Linked DNA regions of Mus musculus: all the other regions are reported to be linked to region 1. Evidence: microRNA targets listed by miRTarBase, many of them from high-throughput screens and not tested one by one. Region 1 holds a microRNA gene; each other region holds the end of a gene's coding sequence. Distances are from middle to middle.

Region 1 (3,178 bases):
CAAAACATAAACAAACGTGTATATGAAAGCACAGACACAGAGAAAAAAATTGCATTCATTTATACGTTTGAATGATATGCGACTTAAAGTTTTAAAGATTATGCAGTACTGGGACAGTGAACGGTTTTACTCACCAGGTGTGAAAGATTGTGGATCAGGAGTTCTAATTCATGCTTTACTTCATGATGACTTAGAGATATGCCTGGGATTCATGTGATGCCCCCTATGTATCCCTATCTGTATCTGTTTATATTTTGTGTGGATTTGAGTATATGTATGTTCCTATCTACACAAATATATACATGTACACAGACACAAACAGAAACACACACACAAACATCAGTGCAACTCATCGATCCATTTGAATGACGTGTGACTTAGAGTTTTAAGATTCCTCAGTACTGAATGGGGAGAGGTCTCACTCAGCAGGTGAAGTCCCTTGACAGAGTCAGGTGGATCAGGAGTTCAAATTTGTGCTGAATTTCATGATGAGTTCATGATCAGCATGGGATTCATCTTATGCCCACCAAAAATGTGCATGTGTGTATAGTTGTCTGCATATTCACTTCTCTATATGAATATGCATATACACACATGCACACACATTCATAGGAATGGCCAGAGCTATGTCTCAGGAGGTGAGTACTCTTGCCAGTGTCAGGAGGATGAGGAGTTCAAATTCATGTTTAACTTCATGATGAGTTAGAGTTCAGCATGCGATTCATGTGATGCCCACCAAGAATGTGCATGTGTGTATAGTTGTGTACATAATCACTTCTGTATATGAATATGCATATACTCACACGCAAACATACTCCCATGAATGGCCCGAGCTATTAATCAGTTAGGAGGTGAATACTCTTGCCAGCATCATGAGGATGAGTAGTTCAAATTCATGTTTAACTTTATGATGAGTTAGAGATCAGCCGGGAATTCATGTGATTTTCCCTGTGTTTGTGTTTATGTGTATAGGGAAGTATGCCTGTACATGCGCGTATATGAACATGCATATATATATATATATATATATATATATATATATATATATATACACACCCACACAACTAGGGACACATACATGTGCACACATACACACATGGCAGTCATCCATTTGATTTATACGTGCTTATAATTTCATTGAGTGTATATTCATGGTATAGGGAATAATCTCACTTATCAGATGAAAACCACTTGCCAGAGTTAGGAGTCTCAGGAGTTCAAATTCATGCTTAACTTCATAATGAGTTAGAGATCACCCTGTATTTGTGTGATGGATCCTAGGTATGCACAAGTGCATATAATTGTGTGTGCACGTACATGTGTGTATATGATCATACATATAAATACACACACATACAAATGTATTCACACACACAGGCGTGCACACTCACACACATAAGAATGACACTCATTGATCCATTTGAATGATATATGTCTTAGAATTTTGCTGATTATAAAGTAGAGGGACAGTGAAGGTCTCACTCACCAGGTGTAAATAATTGGCAGTGTCAGGAGGATCAGGAGTTCAATTTCATGCTTAACTTCATGAGCAGTTAGAGATCATCCTGGAATAATGTGATGGCCCCTATGTATGTGCCCGTGTGCGTAAGTGCCTGCATGTATATGCGTGTATATTTTATGCATATACATACACACACCTACACACACATGCACACAGACATGCGGAAATGGCCTTCACGGATCCATTTGAATGATATGTGACCTACTGCTTTGGAGGTTATGTATGACTGGGCCAGGGTGAGGTCTCACAAACCACGGGAAAACCCTTGGTAGAGTCGGGAAGATCAGGAGTGCAAGTTCATAGTAAAGGCATGATGAGTTAGAGGTCATCCTGGCATTCATGTGATTGCCCCTACGTATGTGTATATGTGTTGATGTGTGTGTGCATGTACATATGTGAATATGATATACATATACATACACGCACACATAAGACACATATGAGCACACAGACACAGGGGAATGGCACTCGTCAATCCATTTGAATGATAAGTGACTTAGAGTGAAAATGCTTGCTAGAGTTAAGAGTATCAGGAGTTCAAATTTACACTTATCCTCATGAGAGATCAGCCTGTGATTCCTCCATGTATGTGCATGTGTGTATAGTTGTGTGTGCATGTTCATGTCTATATTTGAATATACATAACATACACACACACGTATAAACGCAAGCACACATACACAGACACAGGAATGGCATTCGCCAATCCCTTTGAATGATAAGTGATGTAGAGTTTTAGAGATTATGCAATAGGGGACATTGAATGGACTCACTCACCAGGTGTAAAAGATTGACAAAGTCAGGAGGATAAGGATTGCAAATTCATGCTTAACTTCATTTGGAGATCATCTTGGTATTAATGTCATGCAACCCATGTATGTGCATGTGTGCTTACTTGTATGTGCATTGTATGTGTTGACATGATATACATAACATAAACACACGTGTTTATGCAAGCACACACACACAGGAAAAAATTGCATTCATTTATACGTTTGAATGACATGTGACTCAAAGTTTTCAAGATTATGAAGTAGTGGGACAGTGAATGGTTTTACTCATCAGGTGTGAAAGATTGTGGATCAGGAGTTCTAATTCATGCTTTACTTCATGATGACTTAGAGATATGCCTGGGATTCATGTGATGTCCCCTATGTATCCCTATCTGTATCTGTTTCTATTGTGTGTGGATTTGAGTATATGGATGTACCTATCTACACAAATATGTACATGTACACAGACACAAACAGAAACACACACAAAAACATCAGTGCAACTCATCGATCCATTTGAATGACATGTGACTTAGAGTTTTAAGATTTTTCAGTACTGAATGGGGAGAGGTCTCACTCAGTAGGTGAAATCCCTTGACAGAGTCAGGTGGATCAGGAGTTCAAGTTCGTGCTGAATTTCATGATGAGTTCATGATCAGCATGGGATTCATATTATGCCCACCAAAATGTACATGTGTGTATAGTTGTGTGCATATTCACTTCTCTATATGAATATGCATATACACACATGCACACACATTCATAGGAATGGCCAGAGCTATGTCTCAGTTAGGAGGTGAGCACTCTTGCCAGTGTCAGGAGGATGAGGAGTTCAAATTCATGTTTAACTTCATGATGAGTTAGAGTTCAGCATGCGATTCAT
Region 2 (3,178 bases), 20 Mb from region 1:
AGTGCGTGAGATGGCTGGCTCAGTGGGTAAAGGTGCTCACAGCAGCCCTGAGTTTGCTGGGACCCACATGATAGCAAGAGGGAACCAATGCCAGCTAGACTCCCTCACCCGCAGGCTGCACACAAAGAAATATAATGTAAGAAGATTAATAATAATGTGTGCCCAGGCGCACCTCCTCCTTCCTAAGGCCGTCTCTGGCTGGCCGCAGCCGAACTGCAAGTGTCTTGGCAAGCATCTCCTGGTCTGTCTTAGAACACTCTAAGGGACTCTGGCTCTGTCCTTGCTCCAACTGTTTCCTCTCCTCCAAAGTCTCAAGTCCAGCCAGCACAGCACCGACACGCATGGTAAAGAGCACAGTTTATTAAGGACGACTCATCAACAGCCCTGGCCTGCTGAGCTCCCGGGAGCTGCAGGAGCTCAGGCTCGGGGTTCCCCCTTAAGAATCAAGGGCAGATCCTTCCCTCAGGCAGCGTCCAACTGCGGAGCCACCCTACCCAAGACAAAGTCTCCATGTCCTTGGCCTTCATCTCAAGGACCAAGTGGTGGGCACAGGATGCAGGTCTCCCACAGAAACAAATCAGATGCAGTGATTCCAGTAGCATGGTCCCAGGAAACGGGGCAAGGGGTGGGGTGGGGGAGGCAGGCAAGAAGGAATGAATGCATCCGCGTCCTGGGCAGCATTTGCTGCGTCCCAGTCAACAAAGGGAGCAGTACTGGGGCTGAGCTACCAGCTACCAAGTCCTAGGTCTGGGGGCGGTCAAGATGGCGGGAGTGTATATGGCCTCCCTTATACTCGGCTCTAGGGTAAAGCTGGCAGCCCTCTCAGGCAGGAACGGGGAGAGGATGTCAGGGTTAACCTTGGGGAATAAGACAATCCATATTTGAATTCTCCAACTCCTTTAGCATCCTGGCCACTCCTCCCCAGGTCACTTGCCACTCTGCAATAAATAGCTAGCCTGTGTCCAAATAAATAGTAAAATACGTCCCAGGTGTTGTGTATTGAGAGAGAAGGTAGTAAAAAGGCAGGTAGAGTCCCAGCAGCACTCAACCCAACCTGGCTAAAGCAATGGCCTGGGAAGGAGGCAGCCCTGCCCTCTGCTCTCAGGAAGGCTTCAGGTGCCAGCTACTGGAGCCTCACTCCTGCTGGCCAGTCTCTGGAGAAGGTTAAGAGCCCTTGCTGCCAACCTGCCTTCAGGACTCAAGCCACCTGACCTCCGGAAGAAACATGGTCAGAAAAGTCTATAGGGTTCAGGGAACCCAGCCCCAAAGTCAGAAGATAGATCAAGCACATGACCAGGAAGGCCAGCACCTCCGAAGCCTCCCCCCCCCCCCCCCCCCCCCGCCGCCTCCCCGCTCCGCCTCCCATGGGGGCAGATGGCAGAGGTAGCCCTCTGGTACTGTGAAGCTCCAGGCCTTCCAGTTTAGCCACCCTGGACCCAGAGAAGCTTTCTTTGGTCCCTTGCCCTTGATGAGAACTACACACACCAGATGGGAACATGGCCATCAAAGAGATGACATCACTCCTGAAATGGCAACTCCCAGGCACACAGCAGCCAGGGTATCTTACTCTCCAACTGAAGGCTCTCCCCATCCCTCCTTTCTCCATTCTTGAGTAGAAAATGGGCGAGAGGCTCAAAGCATCACAGGCTGCCATTGGAGCAGGTACTGGGGATTCCTGCTCTGACATAGAGGACCTGGAGGCCTCAGGCTGGGGATGGGAACAGGATGCCAATAAAGTTGGCCTCCAGGGCTTTCTCACTAAGCTACACTCCTGAATGCTGGCCTCAGGGAGCAGAGGGGAGGAGAGCGCCAGGGTAAAGAGGACAGACAAAAGAAAGACAGCAGGAGCCACACACGCCTCTGGCAAAGGAAGAAAAGGGACAGGCAGAGGTAGACACAGAGGGGAAGCAGGGCCTTAGAGGGTTCCCACATACCCTCACCCCACTGCCAGGGCATGTGTGAACACACATGTATACATACATACACACACACATACACACACACACACACACACACACACACACACACACAAAGCAGAGACCTGGGAGACAACCCTACCGGCCACAAGCAAACACACCGGACAGGGACAAACGGTGGCCCTAGAACTGGCAGTCACTCAGCTCTTCTGGGGTGCTTCCCCAGGCAGTCTGAGCACCAACACTCAGAAGTTGTTTCTGGCCCATTAGCTAATTGCCTCCCCTGACCAGGACTCAGGGAAGATGAAAGCACAGGGGTGAGGAGCTACTGGGCAGAGGCATGGCAGGACCCTGTCAGCCTCCTAGGCCCCAAATGGCCCCAGCCCCAGGAAGCCAGTTCAGGAGCTCCGGCCCTGCTGAGCAGTCTGGGTGGAGGGTCCCAGGGCTGAGGTGCAGGGAGTGTGGCAGGGCTGAGCACTGGGAAGGAGCGCATCGCGGCGTGCTCCAGGAGCACCCTGGACCATGGGAACCAGGCTGGGAAGACCTGGAGCTGGCCAGGACTGTAGCTTCCCTTCAGGCTGGCTTTCTCACAGGCTCCTTTGTGTCCCCAAAACAAGGGTGTGGAGCAAGCGCAGTGGCTGCTCTTCCAAAGCTGGGACCCTGCTACCACGTTACTTCGAGTCTTGGAGTTCCTTGGCTTTCTGTAGGATCTGGCAGACGTCTGTGATGGGGTAATCCTGGAAAGCGGAAAGCGAAAGCAAGGTCATGCTCCTGGAGCAGCAGCCACTTTGCTCCACTTGCCACACCCACCACCTTCCCAGAGACTCGTTACCATGGAATGGCACCAGGGCCAGGGACCATGGTGTACCAGACACCCAGAGTAGCCTGCCCCAAACACTGCAAGTCACTAAGGTTCTGCGTCCCAAGGCCCAAAGGGTCTCACAGCCTGTATTAGAACCAGGGTACCCAAAGGCCTCAGCCCTCACGTCTGACACAGAAGCTGGAGCCACACCTATGAACAGCATGTTGCTAGCTCAGGCAACATAGCCCTTGGTTTTCTAGTCACCTCAGGAGGCTCAAGGAGGGGTACTGTGATTATGGCCGTCTTACAGACCTAGCTAGTGAGGTTATTGGAAACCAACCCTAGGCCAGGTGTTGGAGACGCACTAAGGCCTAGAGACAAAGTCACTTGGCTCAAGTCACATGAGAAGCAGAGCAGAACAGATATGGACGTTAGGCTGGCTGTCAGACCTGACACACAC
Region 3 (3,178 bases), not on the chromosome of region 1:
CAATTACAGCCAATTAAGCAAGCTCTATTTACTATGCATAGGACTGACTCTCAGAGTCGGAATTTGAGAGAGCAGTGTGGGTTCACTTTTCAGGACTCTTGTTATAGTGAAAAAGTATAAACTGGGAGCTTTCAAAAGAATTTGGTGATGTAGGGATTTGGCAAGCAATTTCTTTTTATATTCGGCAAGCAGGCAGCCAATTAGATTGTCTGACAGATCATCTTAGCGGACATCTCATCAGGATGGAGTACATCTGAGGTGTGAGTTGAACTCCATTGAGTGGGGGAACGTGTCAATTTCCAGAACCAGGTTAAATCACAGTTAACTTGAATTTTGCAGCAAACAGAAATGAGCTTACTTTGAGCTTGTAACAAAATGGTGTTTAACTTTAAGATGGAGTCAGGCTGGTCCACCAAAAGGATATGAGAAGCTATTGTTTGACAGGCCCCCTACCACCACCACCAAGTACAGGTGTTGGAAACAAAATCTCCAATTTAACATCACTGAGAGGTAGAGAATTTAGATGAATTGATTGTTGTTATTATGGAGTATTGGGAGATGGCTTCAGCCAGATTATGTTGTAGTAAGGCCCTCACCCGGTGTAGACTTTTCAGCTATCATTACTGCAAAAAATTTCATCTCATTATAAATTACCTAGCCAGTGATAATTGCTAAATCAACATTAAATGTACTAAAATTGTAGACCTCAGGTTGCCCAGGAAGTTGTGAGCATTCATCTCTATGTAGTTCTGTGTTCCTTCCAACCTTAGCCATTAGCAGGAAGAAATGTGGGTCATCTCATTTGATTTGACATTTTATTTCCAGGTGCTGTGTAGTTACCAGCAATGTGATGTGCTACCTGGTGTGAGATGGCTGTCTTCCCATGTCCCTACAGAGCATTTTGCAGAAAATTGTCACACCAAATAATTTCTGGGTCTGGATCAGCAAAAGGCAACACAACTTTTTTCAACGGAGGATCTGTGGCTACTGCAAATGAAGAATTTAATTTTTAACTGAAAATTACAAATATAGGCCAGGCAGTGGTAGCCCATGCCTTTAATTCCAGCACTCAGAAGGCAGAGGCAGGCAGATCTCTGAGGCCAGCCTGGTCTACAGAGTGAATTCCTGAACAGTCAGGGCTACACACAGAGAAACCCTGTCTCAAACATACATATAGCATATATATGTATATATCTGCACACATATACCCACATACATACATACATACATACATACAATGTCACTACAGTTACAATTAGCACAGGTCTGATCACATTAGGAGAGCAAGAGTAGGAGGAGCTTGTGGTTGTACAAGCATTAGGCTGATGCCTCAAGTTTTAATGGAGCTGAAAACAGAAAAATTCTTGTATTTAGCTGGCTTTTTTTTTTTCAGTCCAGGACTCGTCCGTGGAATGATTCCATGCACATATAGGATGGTTCTTTGCCCCACAGGTAGACCTCTCTAGCAACACCCTCGAAGACATAACCAGAGGTGTGTCCTCTAGGTGATACTAAATCCAGTGATGTTAATAAAGATATTCATATTGGTAAATACAACTTTTAAGGGGTGATATTTTGCTGTCTGGCGAAAACATACCTTTCAAAGGTATCTTCTTATGCTATTTGAGAGACAGCTGAAAAAGAGTTTACTATTTCACCACAACACTAACTCCATTAAAGAGGAGCTAATTCACATGGCCTAGTAATCTTTTCATCACCCCAGAGTCTAGCATTTCAACCCATAAATTTGGGGGGCACACACGCAGCTCTAAATAATAGCAAGATCTTCAGCATTTTCCTACAGGTGTTAGATTTGCCATGTCTTCTGATAAGGGTTTTGCGTGTGTGGTTAAAACTTATATGTTCTTAGTAACTTTGAGTTTATTTCTCACTTTTAGAAAGATTTAAACTGTGTACACACACACACACATGAATATGCAATGTGTGCAATTGCCTGTGAGGACTAGAGACATCAGATCTGCCTGCAGGTAGGGGCATTTGTGAGCCACCTGACATGGGTGCTGGAACCTGAGGCTGGGTCACTTGAAACTGCAGAAACTCCTAACCACTGAGCTACTCCTTAGTTGCTGTTCCCGTACTTAACACACAACCTCGACGACAGCACATGGGTCAAAGGTAGAATTTAGTAGCACATGACTTTGAAGCAATCAAAACAACAGCAACAACAAAAACCTCTGGGAACAGAATTAATAACTAGGTGGACTATCTCCAATTCACAATACCAGGAGATGAGCTTTTTATTTTTCATTTATAATAATATCCACACACATTTGAAATCCGGTCAAGAAAAGGAGATGTTCCAGAGACTTAAGAGGTAGATTACAGCTCATTTTAATCTTTTATTTTGGCTCTTTTTTCTTAAAAATGAGTTGATCCCTTTTGAATGTTATTAAAGTGGTATAAAAATATCACCACAGTAGAGTTTAGTGTTTTGCTACTGAGAAGTCCAGCGCACTCCTCTGTGCACTTAGATGCCTATAATTACAACTGTTTCTAGCACACACTGCTGCAGAGAGAAAAGCACCATTTTACAAATACCTGAAGTCAAGGTCTTCAACTGTGAACTCTCCATTTCAGGTCACTGATCTTTTGAGATGGAAACCTCCCTAGGTTTGCTGAGGCTGCTTCAAACTCATGGAGTCAAGCAATCCTCATGTCTCTGGGTCCCAGTAGCTACATGTATGAACCCCTGGATCTCAAGTAATTTTTAAAAGTGTTAGACAGGCATGACCATTTTGTTCCTACCTGTTACATAAAACTTATCCATGGAATTTAGTTGACAGTAACTAAATGATTATAGAGACCCCCCATATTATGTTTATTACATCTCTCAAGATATTCTCTGAAGAGCTTTGGTTTAAGGCTTTTACACCTGCAAATGTATTTTTAAGGGTCCTCATCCACGTGAATTTTATAATGGTTGGTGAGGGATGACCTATGGTTGAAAAGTTTCCCACATGTGTTACATTCATAGGGTTTCTCTCCAGTATGAATTCGCTGATGTGCTATCCGTGAGGAGCTCTGCCTAAAGGTTTTCCCGCACGTGTTACATTTAAAGGGTTTCTCACCAGTGTGAATCCTTCGGTGCTGAATAAGAGCTGAACTTTGACCAAATGACATCCCGCATTCCTGACATCGGTACGGCTTCTCTCCAGTG
Region 4 (3,178 bases), not on the chromosome of region 1:
TCCAAGTCCCCAAAGCTACCTAAAGGAGCCATGCACGGAAGGCCTAACCCTTCTCCTTTCCAGCCACCTGCCAAAGTGACCAAGCCCAGTTCTAAAACCGGAGCCATAGGTCTAGGGACACAGTCTCAGCCACCCACTAGAACGCCGAGGTCAGGAGCAGTCTCAGCACAAAGACTTCAGTCTACATTGAATTTAAACAGTCCAGCTTCTGTGTGCTCAGGGTCCTCTGCAAAAGCTACTCAGGGATCGAAAGGTAAGAATACAGTTTCAGTTGCCAAAAAGCAACCTCAGAGTAAGGGTGTCTGCCGGAATCCGGGACCTGGCTCTTCAAAGTCTCCTGGCCGTACCCCGCTGTCTATTGTGACTGTTCCCCAATCTGCTACCAAGACAGAAACTGTCTCGAAGTCAGCCAAGACTGCCATGAAGGGCCAGTACTCAGCTAAAGGGCCTCCCAAAAGCAGCAAGCCACCAACTTCCTTCAGGGACCCACCCTCATCTGGTAAGGGGGCAGACAGCGGAGATAAAATGCCCACTGCCAGGAAGAAGGAAGAAGATGACCATTATTTTGTTATGACCGGAAATAAGAAGCTTAGGAAATAAATACACTTGTATCGTTTCAGCAAATCAGGGTGATCAATGAATGGCGAGCCACAAGGATCACCAAAGATCTTCCTATTTGTGTCTGTCCGGAGAGCTGCAGACATGAAGTCAAGATGGGATGAAGCTGGGTCAGGGAAAGGACCCATGCATTTTGTGTATCAATGGACAAATGTGTGAGTTTTGACCTGTATCATCTTGCTAATGATGTCTGCTGTTTGAGGGAAGTGTAAAAGTCCAAGAACACTACTAGAATTTTAACTATTGGTGGTATATTTTTGAACACAGGTTAACTGTGGAGGTTATCTGCTAATAGCAACTCCGATACTCTTAAACACTAGTTACTGTGCTCAGCCACAAAGCAATGGTTTGCTTGGCGCTAGTGTGTGCCTGTAATCCCAGCTCCGAAGGCTGAGGCAGGGGTACACAGTAGAAGCCAGCAAGGTTTTGAAATGTGCTGTAATAGGCACCTAATTTATTGGTCAGGAATCCTGGTCCAGCAATCCTAAGTACCAATGGCTCCTGCTGTTTACTTTGATATTATTCTGGATTAAATGGAATTCTTACTATTTAAATCTCTATAATATTTCCGTATCAGAAGGGACTATTTGGTTTTTTAATTAAACTTGGCTTTTTAATACTGTATCATTTTATAACCAATATTTTTGATAAAAAGAAAAAAAAACTCAACCAAGTAAGTTAACTTATTGAATCATAAGCTGAAATTTAGTAAGAATTAAGTTTTTTAAAAAAAAAAAATATATATATATATAATCTAGACACTTTGTATCTTATATTTTTAGATGAAGTCTGTGCAGTGTGACAGGGAAACATTTAATAGCTTTTAGCATACTAAGATATTTTAAATAGACATTTCCTATATGTACATATAAATTTTTTCATTAAAATAATGTGTTTTGATACCAGAATTAGGTTTTAATGATCTTAAAATTAAAAGGGATGGGGGGTGGCTCAATGGATAAGTCATGTCTAGTACAGGCATGGGGATTGGAGTTTGTGTCCCCATACCTACATACAAATCTGGGTGGGCTTGATGGTCTGCCTGTAGTCCCAGCACTCAGGAGGAAGAGACAGGATTTCCTGGGACAAGCTGGCTGGCGAGAGGAGCCGATGGATGAGAGGCAGCTCTTTTGAGAGACCACCCCTACCTTAGTAAAAAAGGAAGATTCCCAAAGTCAATGTCTGTTCTCTCTATGTACAGACTCATACATATATCCTGTTCACATATGCACACACACACACACACACACACACACACGCACACACACCTATGAATGCATATATACACACAGACTCACATACATGCATGCACACCACATATATTGACGCGTACAAAAGATTAAGATGGTATTAAGAGAACCTTTGTGTGATGCTATGCACACATCTCATCAGGTGACTTGTATTTCTTTTGCTAGCACACTGTCGATTTTAATTAGTCTCCAGATTATGTTCATCTTCATTAGTAAGGCCATGTTGTGCTCAGTTTTCCAGTGCCCAGCAGACAGTGTACCTTCTGTTCTGTAGGCAGATTCTCGTCAGGAATATCCAATGATTTCATGACAGCATAAACACCTTCCACCCACAGGGATACTTGTAAATGATTTATGTACAGGCTTGTCACTATTTAAAGTTTATTAATGTACTTTGGGAACTTTTAAGGGTGTTAAGTAACTATGGTATTACCAGTTATCCTAAGTTGTAGGAAGGAAAAGCAGGTCTAAGAGGTACACGCTTGTAATTCCATTACTTGGAAAGTGGAGGCAGGAGGATCAGAAATTCAAGGTCATGTTCAGCTATGCACTAGAGACACGCCTCAAAAAAAATTGTCACTTTGACTCCTCTTTTATAACTCAGATGCCCTCCCTTTAAAATCTGCTTTCCATCCTCCTCCTCTTCCTTTCTTTTCTTTGTGAGACTGAGGATCTATGGTGTCTTACATTGATAGATAAGCATTGCGACTGAGCTTCCTCCTCGGCCCCTTCAAATACGGTTTCTAACACAAACAAAATAGTTGACCCAGACCTGCCATCATTGAATGAGTGAGCATCGTGGCTGGCTGCTGGCATTCTCTAGACCTACATACAGCAAGAGAACCTTGGGTAAAGACCACTGGATCTTTACCCAAGCAGTATGCATAAAATCAAAGATCTACTCAGGATCCCTTACAACAGAAAACCACCAAAAACTTGCCAAACGTTCCGGTTCTGAGCATCACTAATGGCAATATGTACATCTTTGAAAGCACCTCTTAGCACTCAAAAGAGATGCCAGGGGCATTTCTGTAATCAGGAATATCTAACACACCTTTCAGAGAGGAAGGATTGTAGCTTTAGAGAGGCTATTCCCTCATAGAGAGGGCCGCCGAAACTATTTCTAGATCAGTAACTTCTGAGAATTAAAAGAAAAATATAAATTACACTATAGGCAGACTAAACCTATGACTCAGTACATTGTACAGTTTTATAAACATTATCTTTTGTGCTGGGTAATCAAGAATAAAGATATTCTCAGACACCTGGCACAAATTCCCGAATTAACTTTAGGATTATTTATTTAAGAT

The links. Region 1 holds the annotated microRNA mmu-miR-466p-3p (AUACAUACACGCACACAUAAGA, at 1,935-1,956, shown strand). A microRNA usually pairs through its seed, bases 2 to 8, with sites in the 3' UTR of a target mRNA and lowers its output. Matches are read on the target gene's strand: a 7mer-m8 pairs with bases 2 to 8, a 7mer-A1 pairs with bases 2 to 7 and ends in A, and an 8mer does both.
Region 2: the mRNA of Tbc1d13 is a reported target of mmu-miR-466p-3p. Seed matches in the 3' UTR shown: 7mer-m8 at 1,978-1,984 and 7mer-m8 at 1,974-1,980.
Region 3: miRTarBase lists Zfp354a as a target of mmu-miR-466p-3p. Seed matches in the 3' UTR shown: 7mer-A1 at 2,770-2,776, 7mer-m8 at 1,230-1,236, 7mer-m8 at 1,226-1,232, 7mer-m8 at 1,222-1,228, 7mer-m8 at 1,218-1,224 and 7mer-m8 at 1,214-1,220.
Region 4: the mRNA of Gas2l3 is a reported target of mmu-miR-466p-3p. The part of its 3' UTR that is shown has no 7-base or 8-base seed match.

The regions. Positions count from the first base shown.
Region 1 is chr2:10,489,456-10,492,633 of GRCm38, forward strand. It overlaps Gm25285 (predicted gene, 25285), which reads left to right and starts at 1,881; the gene lies at 1,881-1,970. All of the region lies in intron 10 of Sfmbt2 (Scm-like with four mbt domains 2), which reads left to right. It overlaps Mir467a-6 (microRNA 467a-6), which reads left to right and starts at 1,593; the gene lies at 1,593-1,675. It overlaps Mir669a-8 (microRNA 669a-8), which reads left to right and starts at 2,111; the gene lies at 2,111-2,197.
Region 2 is chr2:30,149,175-30,152,352 of GRCm38, reverse strand. Tbc1d13 (TBC1 domain family, member 13) reads right to left here. Exons shown (of 12, transcript NM_146252.3): 12 at 339-2,653. The coding sequence ends at 2,588. Among named protein-coding and RNA genes, the nearest start is that of Gm31080, 12 kb to the left of the region's middle.
Region 3 is chr11:51,070,415-51,073,592 of GRCm38, reverse strand. Zfp354a (zinc finger protein 354A) reads right to left here. Exons shown (of 5, transcript NM_009329.4): 5 at 794-3,178. The coding sequence ends at 2,908. Among named protein-coding and RNA genes, the nearest start is that of Zfp354a, 13 kb to the right of the region's middle.
Region 4 is chr10:89,410,625-89,413,802 of GRCm38, reverse strand. Gas2l3 (growth arrest-specific 2 like 3) reads left to right here. Exons shown (of 11, transcript NM_001033331.2): 11 at 1-3,178. The coding sequence ends at 600. Among named protein-coding and RNA genes, the nearest start is that of Gas2l3, 32 kb to the left of the region's middle.